Linked DNA regions of Macaca mulatta. The protein of the gene in region 1 binds, or shares a complex with, the protein of each later gene. Links are inferred from orthologs where the notes say so. Each region holds a gene or a part of one and is shown in the gene's direction. Other genes may lie near its edges. The genes, in order: NGFR and TRADD.

Region 1 (3,803 bases):
GCCACCACGCCCAGGCTCTGTCCGCAATTCTGCCCCTTTCACTTCTCTCTGGCTTTTCCTTCTTTGCCTCCCTATCCCCCCACCACAGCCCCCAAGCCAGTGACCCCTTGCTCCATCTTGTCTCTGACACCTTTGAATAATGTTAAGACCCCACCCCCCAACAGGCCTCAGTTTACCCCAATGGTGCTTTAGCCTTTCTGCTTCTGCTTCCACATTCTGAACAATCTGTCCTTCCCTAGTTCTCAGGTTCCTAAATCTATGTTCTTTCTGTCCTTGGAGCAAGGATAGGTTCTGCCAGATCCAGGTTGGCACAGAGTTCTCCACCCAAGGCTGGAAGGGGTGAAGAAGATCTGGCCCTGCTCCTTCCCCTCCCTGTACAAGGAGGCAAGGACCCTGGCATGTCTGGCCTCCTTCTCCTTATTCTGGAGTGCACATCCACTAATTAAGAAAACATGAGTGAAGAATGAGCTTGGACATTTCCCTTGCATGCTGGCTGAAAGGGCAGAGGACGCATGTGCAGATCTCAAAGGGGTGATCATATACAGTTGTGCAGCTTGTGTACTGCTCAACAATATCCATCTGAGAGACTCAGTGTGGGCTAAGAGCCAGCTCTCTAGCTTCAGTGGCTCCTGCCTTACCTGAACCCTCTTGCCTGCTGGTCCGTCCCCACCCTCAGGAGCCAAGCCCTTCAGCAGCGTGGGGGTAGCGCCACGGGTGGGAAATTCTGCTGTCTAACCCCGGTCACTCTCATTCAGGGTGCATCTGAGCCCACACCTGTGTGAAGAGGAACTGAAGGCAGATGAGGCAGGAGGCTCCCTAGGGGAAGGCCTACCTTGCCTGGACTGGGTTAGCAGCCCAGTTTTGGCCCGCGGGGAGGGCTGGGTGGGAACCACGTTCAGATTATTCGTTAATCATGCTGGAACACCCTACAGGCCTGGGAAGTCTCAAAGAGAATTTGCCAAGAAACTTACTGGCACCAGCTGGGTTATCCGGGAAACCCTCCTGGCCGGCCAGTGCTTCTGGAGGCTGAAGGAAGCGGCTCCGGGCCTCCTTCCCCTTACCCAATTGGCTGCCACCAACTTTCACCAGGCTAGGGGTCAAAGTCCCCTGGAAGAGGGTGGGAGTCGATGAGAAGGCGAAGCTGAAGGAGGAAGTCAGCGTCCTGGCAGGCAGTGGGTGAGGGAGAGACTCCAGGCTCCTGCGTCCCGGGTGCCCAAAGAGCAGACGACTAAATCTGGTGTCCGCTGCGCTCAGGTGTGACGTTCTCCGACGTGGTGAGCGCGACGGAGCCGTGCAAGCCGTGCACTGAGTGCGTGGGGCTTCAGAGCATGTCGGCGCCGTGCGTGGAGGCCGACGACGCCGTGTGCCGCTGTGCCTACGGCTACTACCAGGACGAGACGACCGGGCGCTGCGAGGCGTGCCGCGTGTGCGAGGCGGGCTCGGGCCTCGTATTCTCGTGCCAGGACAAGCAGAACACCGTGTGCGAGGAGTGCCCCGACGGCACGTATTCAGATGAGGCCAACCACGTGGACCCGTGCCTGCCCTGCACCGTGTGCGAGGACACCGAGCGCCAGCTGCGCGAGTGCACACGCTGGGCCGACGCCGAGTGCGAGGGTGAGCGCTGTTAGGGAGCCGGCAGTAGGGGGTGCGGGGGTGGGCTGGGGGCATAAGGAAGGGCTCCCTCTGGAGGTCGACAAAGACCCCGCCTGGCCTGCTGGGGCAGCTTTGTGACCTTAAGGCAGCGTGCACCTTCCCTGAGCTTCAGTCCCTTCCTGGTAACCTGAGGGAGGACGTCGTTCCCGATCCTGTCTCACCAGAGAACCCCTCTCACTGTTTCCTTCTTTTGGCTAAGTGTTTGGAAAGTGGGGGGTTCTCATTGTCCCAGGCCGCGGGTACTACATGTAACTCATCCTCGGGGACTCATTTCTCTGTGACTGCCCGCTAGTGATTAGATGAACAGCAAGCAGCTCGAAGGTGGCCACTACCCCCAGGGCACAGCACAGAACACGAGGGGTCTGATCCATGAGGCAGGCTTTCTGAACTGGAAGAACAGCTGGAGGACCCTCAGGAGCTGGGACCCTTTGACTCTGAGCCCTGGTCTAGGTCCATGGTGGGTTTTGGCTCTGGGACCTGAGATGGAACCCACCCTGTCCTTATCTGACATTAGGGAGTCCACTCCTGTCTCTGGGCCACAGTTTCCTCACTGGTCATATGGTTGCCAGGGTTGTTGCAGGTTAGGGAGCACAGTGGGGCTGGCCCACTTCAGCTTGCCCTGTCTAGGGGAGGGGTCAACCGTGTTTTGCAGTTTAGTGAAGGATGAGGGGCGTGCAGGGAACACCAAGGAGGGGCTCTGTGGAAGAAGGGGGGGCAGACCTGGGGCTCAAAAGCCCGGGGACAAGGGAGTGCATGCTCGTGGCTGTCAGTTCCAGGGGTGAATGGGAGCTGAGTGTGCCCTTAGCTAGGCACAGGCCCAAAGGAGATGGGGTGATTCCAGGGATGGGAGGAGGAAGCCCCATGGGAGCCAGGGCAGAGCTGTTTTGGTCTCTGGTTGGTGACGTCCGTCTCGGGAGACGGGTGGGCTTTTCCACTTCAGGGAGAGGCTGGCAGCGCCTTTACATCCTGCTTATCCTCCTGTGGCCATGCACACATTGAGCTATTTCCCTTTAAGACCTAACCTTCATCCTCAGGTTGCTTTTACCCTGAGCAGGCAATACAGCACCTCCTTCAGTGAGCCCCCAGTTCGATGGGAGAGATAGCCTTCGCCCAGTCTAATGAGAGAGACGTGGTCCCAGCACTTAGTCCCCAGCTGAAGGAGAGACAGCCCTCACTTTAGAAATCCCCCATTCTGATGGAGGCAGCAGAGCTTCTGCCTCAGTCAGCACCTGATCTCCTGCCCCTGGGGACCCTCCAGTCTGATAGGGGCTCCAACATCCCACACCTGCCTTCCAAGTCCTGTGATCTTTGGCTTTAGGAGCTCAGGATGGGGAGGGCTGTTGGGCTAAGGCCAGGTTGAACTCAAAGCTGCCTGCCTTGGAGAAGGAATGAGGAGTAGGAGTAGGATGTGGTAGTTCTGGTGGCAATTGCCCTGGGCCAGGAGACAGGCAAGTGGCATCAGGCACCAGGCAGAGCGCAGGGAGGGTTTCAGCAGCCAGGCGTCAGGGAAGCGGGCAGCACATTTCTGTGGACAAGTCCAGACCAGCCAGCTGCGGGCGGGGTTGGGGGGACTTAGGGGCGCTGCAGAGCAAAGAAAGGTGGTGGCTGCGGGAGGAGCAGGCTTTGTGGTTTGGGGCATTCACAGATTCCTCTCAGATCCCAGCCCACTTTCCCAGCCACCCCAAAGGAGGAGGGTGCTCCTGAGGGAATGTGTTCATCCTGGACCTTGTTCCCCTTTCAGCTTCAGGCTCTGAAGGGTTAAATGTCAGCTCTGGAACGAGGGACCATTTCAGGAAATGGAATTTGATTCTTGGTTTGGGTGCCCCCTCCCCTCCAGCTTACCATACTTTCCCCCCTGCATATAAGTTTCAGGTGTCAACATGGTGACTCACCCACCCTTAGGGCAGAAGGGCTCCCCACTGCCCCAGTGAAATTCGTTTTGCTTAGGGGTAATCTTGTCCCTCCATCCAGCCCGGAAATGGCTGTCAGGACCTGCCAAGGGCTTAGTACGGGGGAATGCTAGTGGACATGGCCACATCTGGATCTCATCCTCCTGCCCTCATCAGAGGGGTTTGGAGAGATGAGGGAAGCTCCCCGAGAGTCAGCGCCGCCTCTGGTCTGGCCATGCCTTGCTACCCTCCCAGCCCTCC
Region 2 (3,903 bases), on another chromosome or scaffold:
AGGTGGATCTTGGCTCCGAAGCGTGGGCGCGGCGCAGATGTCACCAGCGGCTGCTCCAGCCAGCTGGTGGCGGCGGCCTATTGGGCTGTTCCCGTGGGAGGCGGGGGGCGGTACTGAATTTGGCCCCCGCAGGCTCTTCGTCCCTGCCAGCGCTTTCGAGGAGCAGTAGGGCCCCGCAGGAGAGAGGGTGGGGGAGGAGGGGTGGTTCTGAACACCTCCTTGAGCGGAGACCCCCCTGTCCACCCCAGCCGATCGCACGTGCGAAACCCCAGCTTGAGGGTGGGCTAGTGGGAGCCTGGGAAGCTCCCCTCCAGCGCTCGGGAGCTGCGTAGCTGAGTAGGGGGTGTGCCCGGCGGGTCGCAAGGAGTCGCAGGCTTTCATTTCTGGGCCACGCCCACAGGCTGTCCCTGTCCACCCAGCCAGAGGTGGGGCTGCCCCCGGGACTGTTAAGTGTTCAAGGGGCACCGTGCGTGGCTCGCCCCTGGAAATGGCGGCAGACGTTGTTAGGTCGGTACCCAAGTGCCCCACAGTCTCCGGCCACCAAACGTTCTCAGGACCCAGCCTGGAAGCCTCAGCCCCTCCCAAAAAGGGACGACTACGGGTGGGTGGGGCGCGGGGCTTCCCAAGGAGGGGCTTCTGTGAAAGAACACGTTAGAAGAGCTGCCAATCGGCGGATGCGAAACTAGGGCCCTGGCCTCTTTACCCTGTTAACTCGACCTCCAGCCTGGCTTACCTCCCCCATGGGTCTGGTACTAGTGAGTGTGAGGAAGCATCCCCAGTCTCCAGGTTCCCAGTACTCCCTGCCTCCCCACCCTCCCCTGCAGACCTGATGGGCAGACATTGGTCCCGTTTGGTCCCCACTTCCACCCCTTGGGGTGGGGCCACAACCATCGGGTCAGCACTCCCAAGTCAAGGGGCTAGGAAGACGTGAAAGAGGGAACGTTTCCAGGGGAGGTTCTCACTCTCTCCTACTCCCCAGGCCACTTTCCTAGGACTCCCCCTTATCTCACCTCCGTGGCTGGCTCCCTATCATGGACCCACTTGTCACCTGCAGAGTTTCCCACTTTTTCTTGTTTTGCTTTTAAAGAAAACAAATTTATTTTGCTCTTTTAATACAAAGAAAATGTCTCTACTTCACATAAAGCAGAAAATATTGCTAAATACAAAGAAAATAAAAATCACCCACAATCCTTCCCCACCCCCACCTCCCTCCCTCCATCCTGCCCAGAGATAAACAAAATGCAAATTTCCTGTTACTATCCAGACTGTGGTTTGGTGTAAGTACACAGTATTAATGTTTTCTATGAAAAGATTAGGAGGCCAGGTGTGGTGCCTCACACCTGTGATCCCAGCACTTTGGGAGGCTGAGGTGGGCAGATCGCTTGAGCCCAGGAGTTTGAGACCAGCCTGGGCAACATGGTGAAACTCCATCTCTACTAAAAATACAAAAACTAGCCAGGCTTGGTGGCGCATGCCTAAAGTCCTAGCTACTTGAAAGGCTGAGGTGAGAGGATTGCTTGAGCCGGGAAGGTCAAGGCTGCAGTGAGCCGTGATAGTGCCACTGCACTCCAGCCTGGGTGACAGAGCAAGACCCTGTCTCAAAAACAAGAAAATTTAGAAAACAAAGGTCGAGAGTAGTGGCTTACTCCTGTAATTCCAGCACGTTGCGAGGCCAGGACAGGATAGCTTCCTGTTCCTCATGTAAACAGATGGCAGCTGGGGCCACCCCATCTGTCCTGCCCCATAGCTAACACTCAACACTCCTCCTAGCCCACCATATATAAACCCTGATGACTGGAGAGTGCAGGAGTGTGACTGATGGGGCAGGAGGTAGGGCCTTGATCCCATGATTCTAGGAAAAGGGTAAGGTGGGGAGAAAGAGGGAGGGCAGTTTCTTACTTGCTGTCTCATGGGGTAGTAACTGGGAGACCACTGAGCTGTGGGTCAGTGCAGTGGTTCCCTGGCTGGGAATTTTGCCTCAGCTGGTCCAGGGCTAGGTTTTTGTCAGAAGATGGAGGAAGGAGATACTATGCTAGCACCAAGGGGCCCTGGCTTTTTCTGGACAGGGAAGGAATAGAACAATTTGTGTTGGAAATGACCAGAGCCGAACTCCAAGGGCTTTACAACAAAAAAGGATTATTTAGCTCACATAACTGAAAAGTCCAGGGTGCAGTGGCTTCAGGAACAGCTGGATCCAGGGGCGTAGTATGGTTGGGAATGCACTGCTCCATCTCTTGACTATTTCTTTCTGTGTCAGCTTCATTCCCAGCCAGACTCTTCCCAAGCAGTATTAAAGGAGAGCTACCTCTTCCTTCCAGTTCAGTCCCAAGGGAAGGGAAAGGAGTGCCTCTTTCCTATTGGCTCAACCAGAGTTGCAGGGTTGATTCTCATGGGTCCAACTTAAGTCCTACACCCTGCTCTGAACTAATCACTGCAGAAATGTGAATGGAATGTGCAGATTAGCCAGGTCTGGTGCACAAGCCCGACCTGAAACTAGGGAGTGGGACACAGGCACATGGATTGAGAAGAGGGAGGAGGGAAGTCCCTAAGGTAAGTCAGGCTTTCAGGAGGGAATCTGGGTAGATGCAAACTGCAGGTGTCCTTCAAAGTGAAGACAGGAGGTTTAGTCTTAGGCTGAGGTCCTCCAGAGATGCTGGGCTCAAGTCTACTCAGAAGGCAAGGCCAGGAGCATATGGGTCTTGTTGGCTTTGGGGCATGAGCACCATCCAGCATGAAGATGTCTCTGGTCCATGGTGGTTAGAGAGACACACAGGCCTGAGGAGGAGGCAGAGAAGCCCCACTGCAGAATCTGCCTCTGCTCCCCTCCACTGTGACCCTGGGCTCTTTCGCTGAGAAGGCAGTGGAGGGACAGTCCTCACTGCAAGCGTGGGGTGGGTGGGACTCAGTATAGGGCCAGGAGCTCAAGGGGCTTCCTGTGAGATGGTGAACTCCTGTCCCAAGTATGCCAACCAGTGGTGGGGACAACTGAACCATGTGGGACTTGAGGTTACTGTGGAGACGCTGAACCACGTGGGGCTGGACGGTTGTCTCCAGGGCAGAGGGAGGGGGGATGAACTGGATACCCGACTGTCTGCATCTCCAGGAGGTGAGATGGCAGCTGGGCAAAATGGGCACGAAGAGTGGGTGGGCAGCGCATACCTGTTTGTGGAATCCTCGCTGGACAAGGTGGTCCTGTCGGATGCCTACGCGCACCCCCAGCAGAAGGTGGCAGTGTACAGGGCTCTGCAGGCTGCCTTGGCAGGTGCGTGGGTGGGCGGGCATGTGGAGAGGAAGGGGTGGCCTGGGGCATTTTGTGGGTGGGCCTGGGCTTAGCCACCTTTAAGGAGAAGATTTAGGGTGGGAGGAGCAAGACAGAGGACCCCTGGCTGTGCAGGCTCTCTTCTCTGCTTGTGGCATGACCTTGACGGTAGACGTGTGTCCTCGTCTGTGTATGATTTACCTATTTGTGCACTAACATCTCTTGCTCCCTCGCCGCCCCCCTCCACCAGCTGGCTCACTCCTTTCTACTAATTGTGGATGTCTCTCTCCTCTTTTCCTCTCTTACTCCAGCACTCCTTGCTCAAGACCCCTCCCCAGTACCTACCCTTCCAGGCCCCCCTTTCCCATCTCAGGGCAGAGGCCACAGGAGGCTGAAGCGGGTTGGGGGATCTGTTCGTGGCCTCAGAGCAGCGACAGCCGCCGCTCTTCTTCCCGAGCAGTGGGAGCCGCGCTTGGTGGAGGCCGAACACCTGAGACCTCCCGCCCTCCTCTGCCCTGCTGGCCGCCTACCCAGACGGCTTGGTTGCCCAGGGCACACGCCCCCTTTTCTGTGCTTCGAAGTCCCTCTCTTTTGTCAACCTTCATTTGGGGCGTGAGAGCTTGGACTAGGTGGCACCCACTCTG

What was found.
Region 2: the proteins of NGFR (region 1) and TRADD are in contact, whole or in part, in an NMR structure (PDB 7CSQ), measured with the Homo sapiens proteins. The link is inferred for Macaca mulatta from reciprocal best matches to the Homo sapiens genes NGFR and TRADD. Residues at the interface, in NP_002498.1 of Homo sapiens: Glu345, Glu346, Glu348, Lys349, Leu350, Asn352, Gly353, Ser354, Ala355, Glu379, Ala380, Cys381, Arg384, Glu420; in NP_001310481.1 of Homo sapiens: Thr201, Phe202, Asn211, Ala275, Glu276, Arg278, Arg279, Thr281, Gln283, Arg284, Glu287.

What each region holds. Positions count from the first base shown.
Region 1 is NC_133421.1:60,502,345-60,506,147, reverse strand, and holds part of NGFR (tumor necrosis factor receptor superfamily member 16), read left to right. Parts: intron 1-1,254; coding exon 1,255-1,614; intron 1,615-3,803. UniProt on the Homo sapiens protein: Low affinity receptor which can bind to NGF, BDNF, NTF3, and NTF4. Forms a heterodimeric receptor with SORCS2 that binds the precursor forms of NGF, BDNF and NTF3 with high affinity, and has much lower affinity for mature NGF and BDNF.
Region 2 is NC_133425.1:62,699,011-62,702,913, reverse strand, and holds the start of TRADD (tumor necrosis factor receptor type 1-associated DEATH domain protein), read left to right. Parts: upstream 1-935; 5' UTR 936-2,940; coding exon 2,941-3,262; intron 3,263-3,903. UniProt on the Homo sapiens protein: Adapter molecule for TNFRSF1A/TNFR1 that specifically associates with the cytoplasmic domain of activated TNFRSF1A/TNFR1 mediating its interaction with FADD.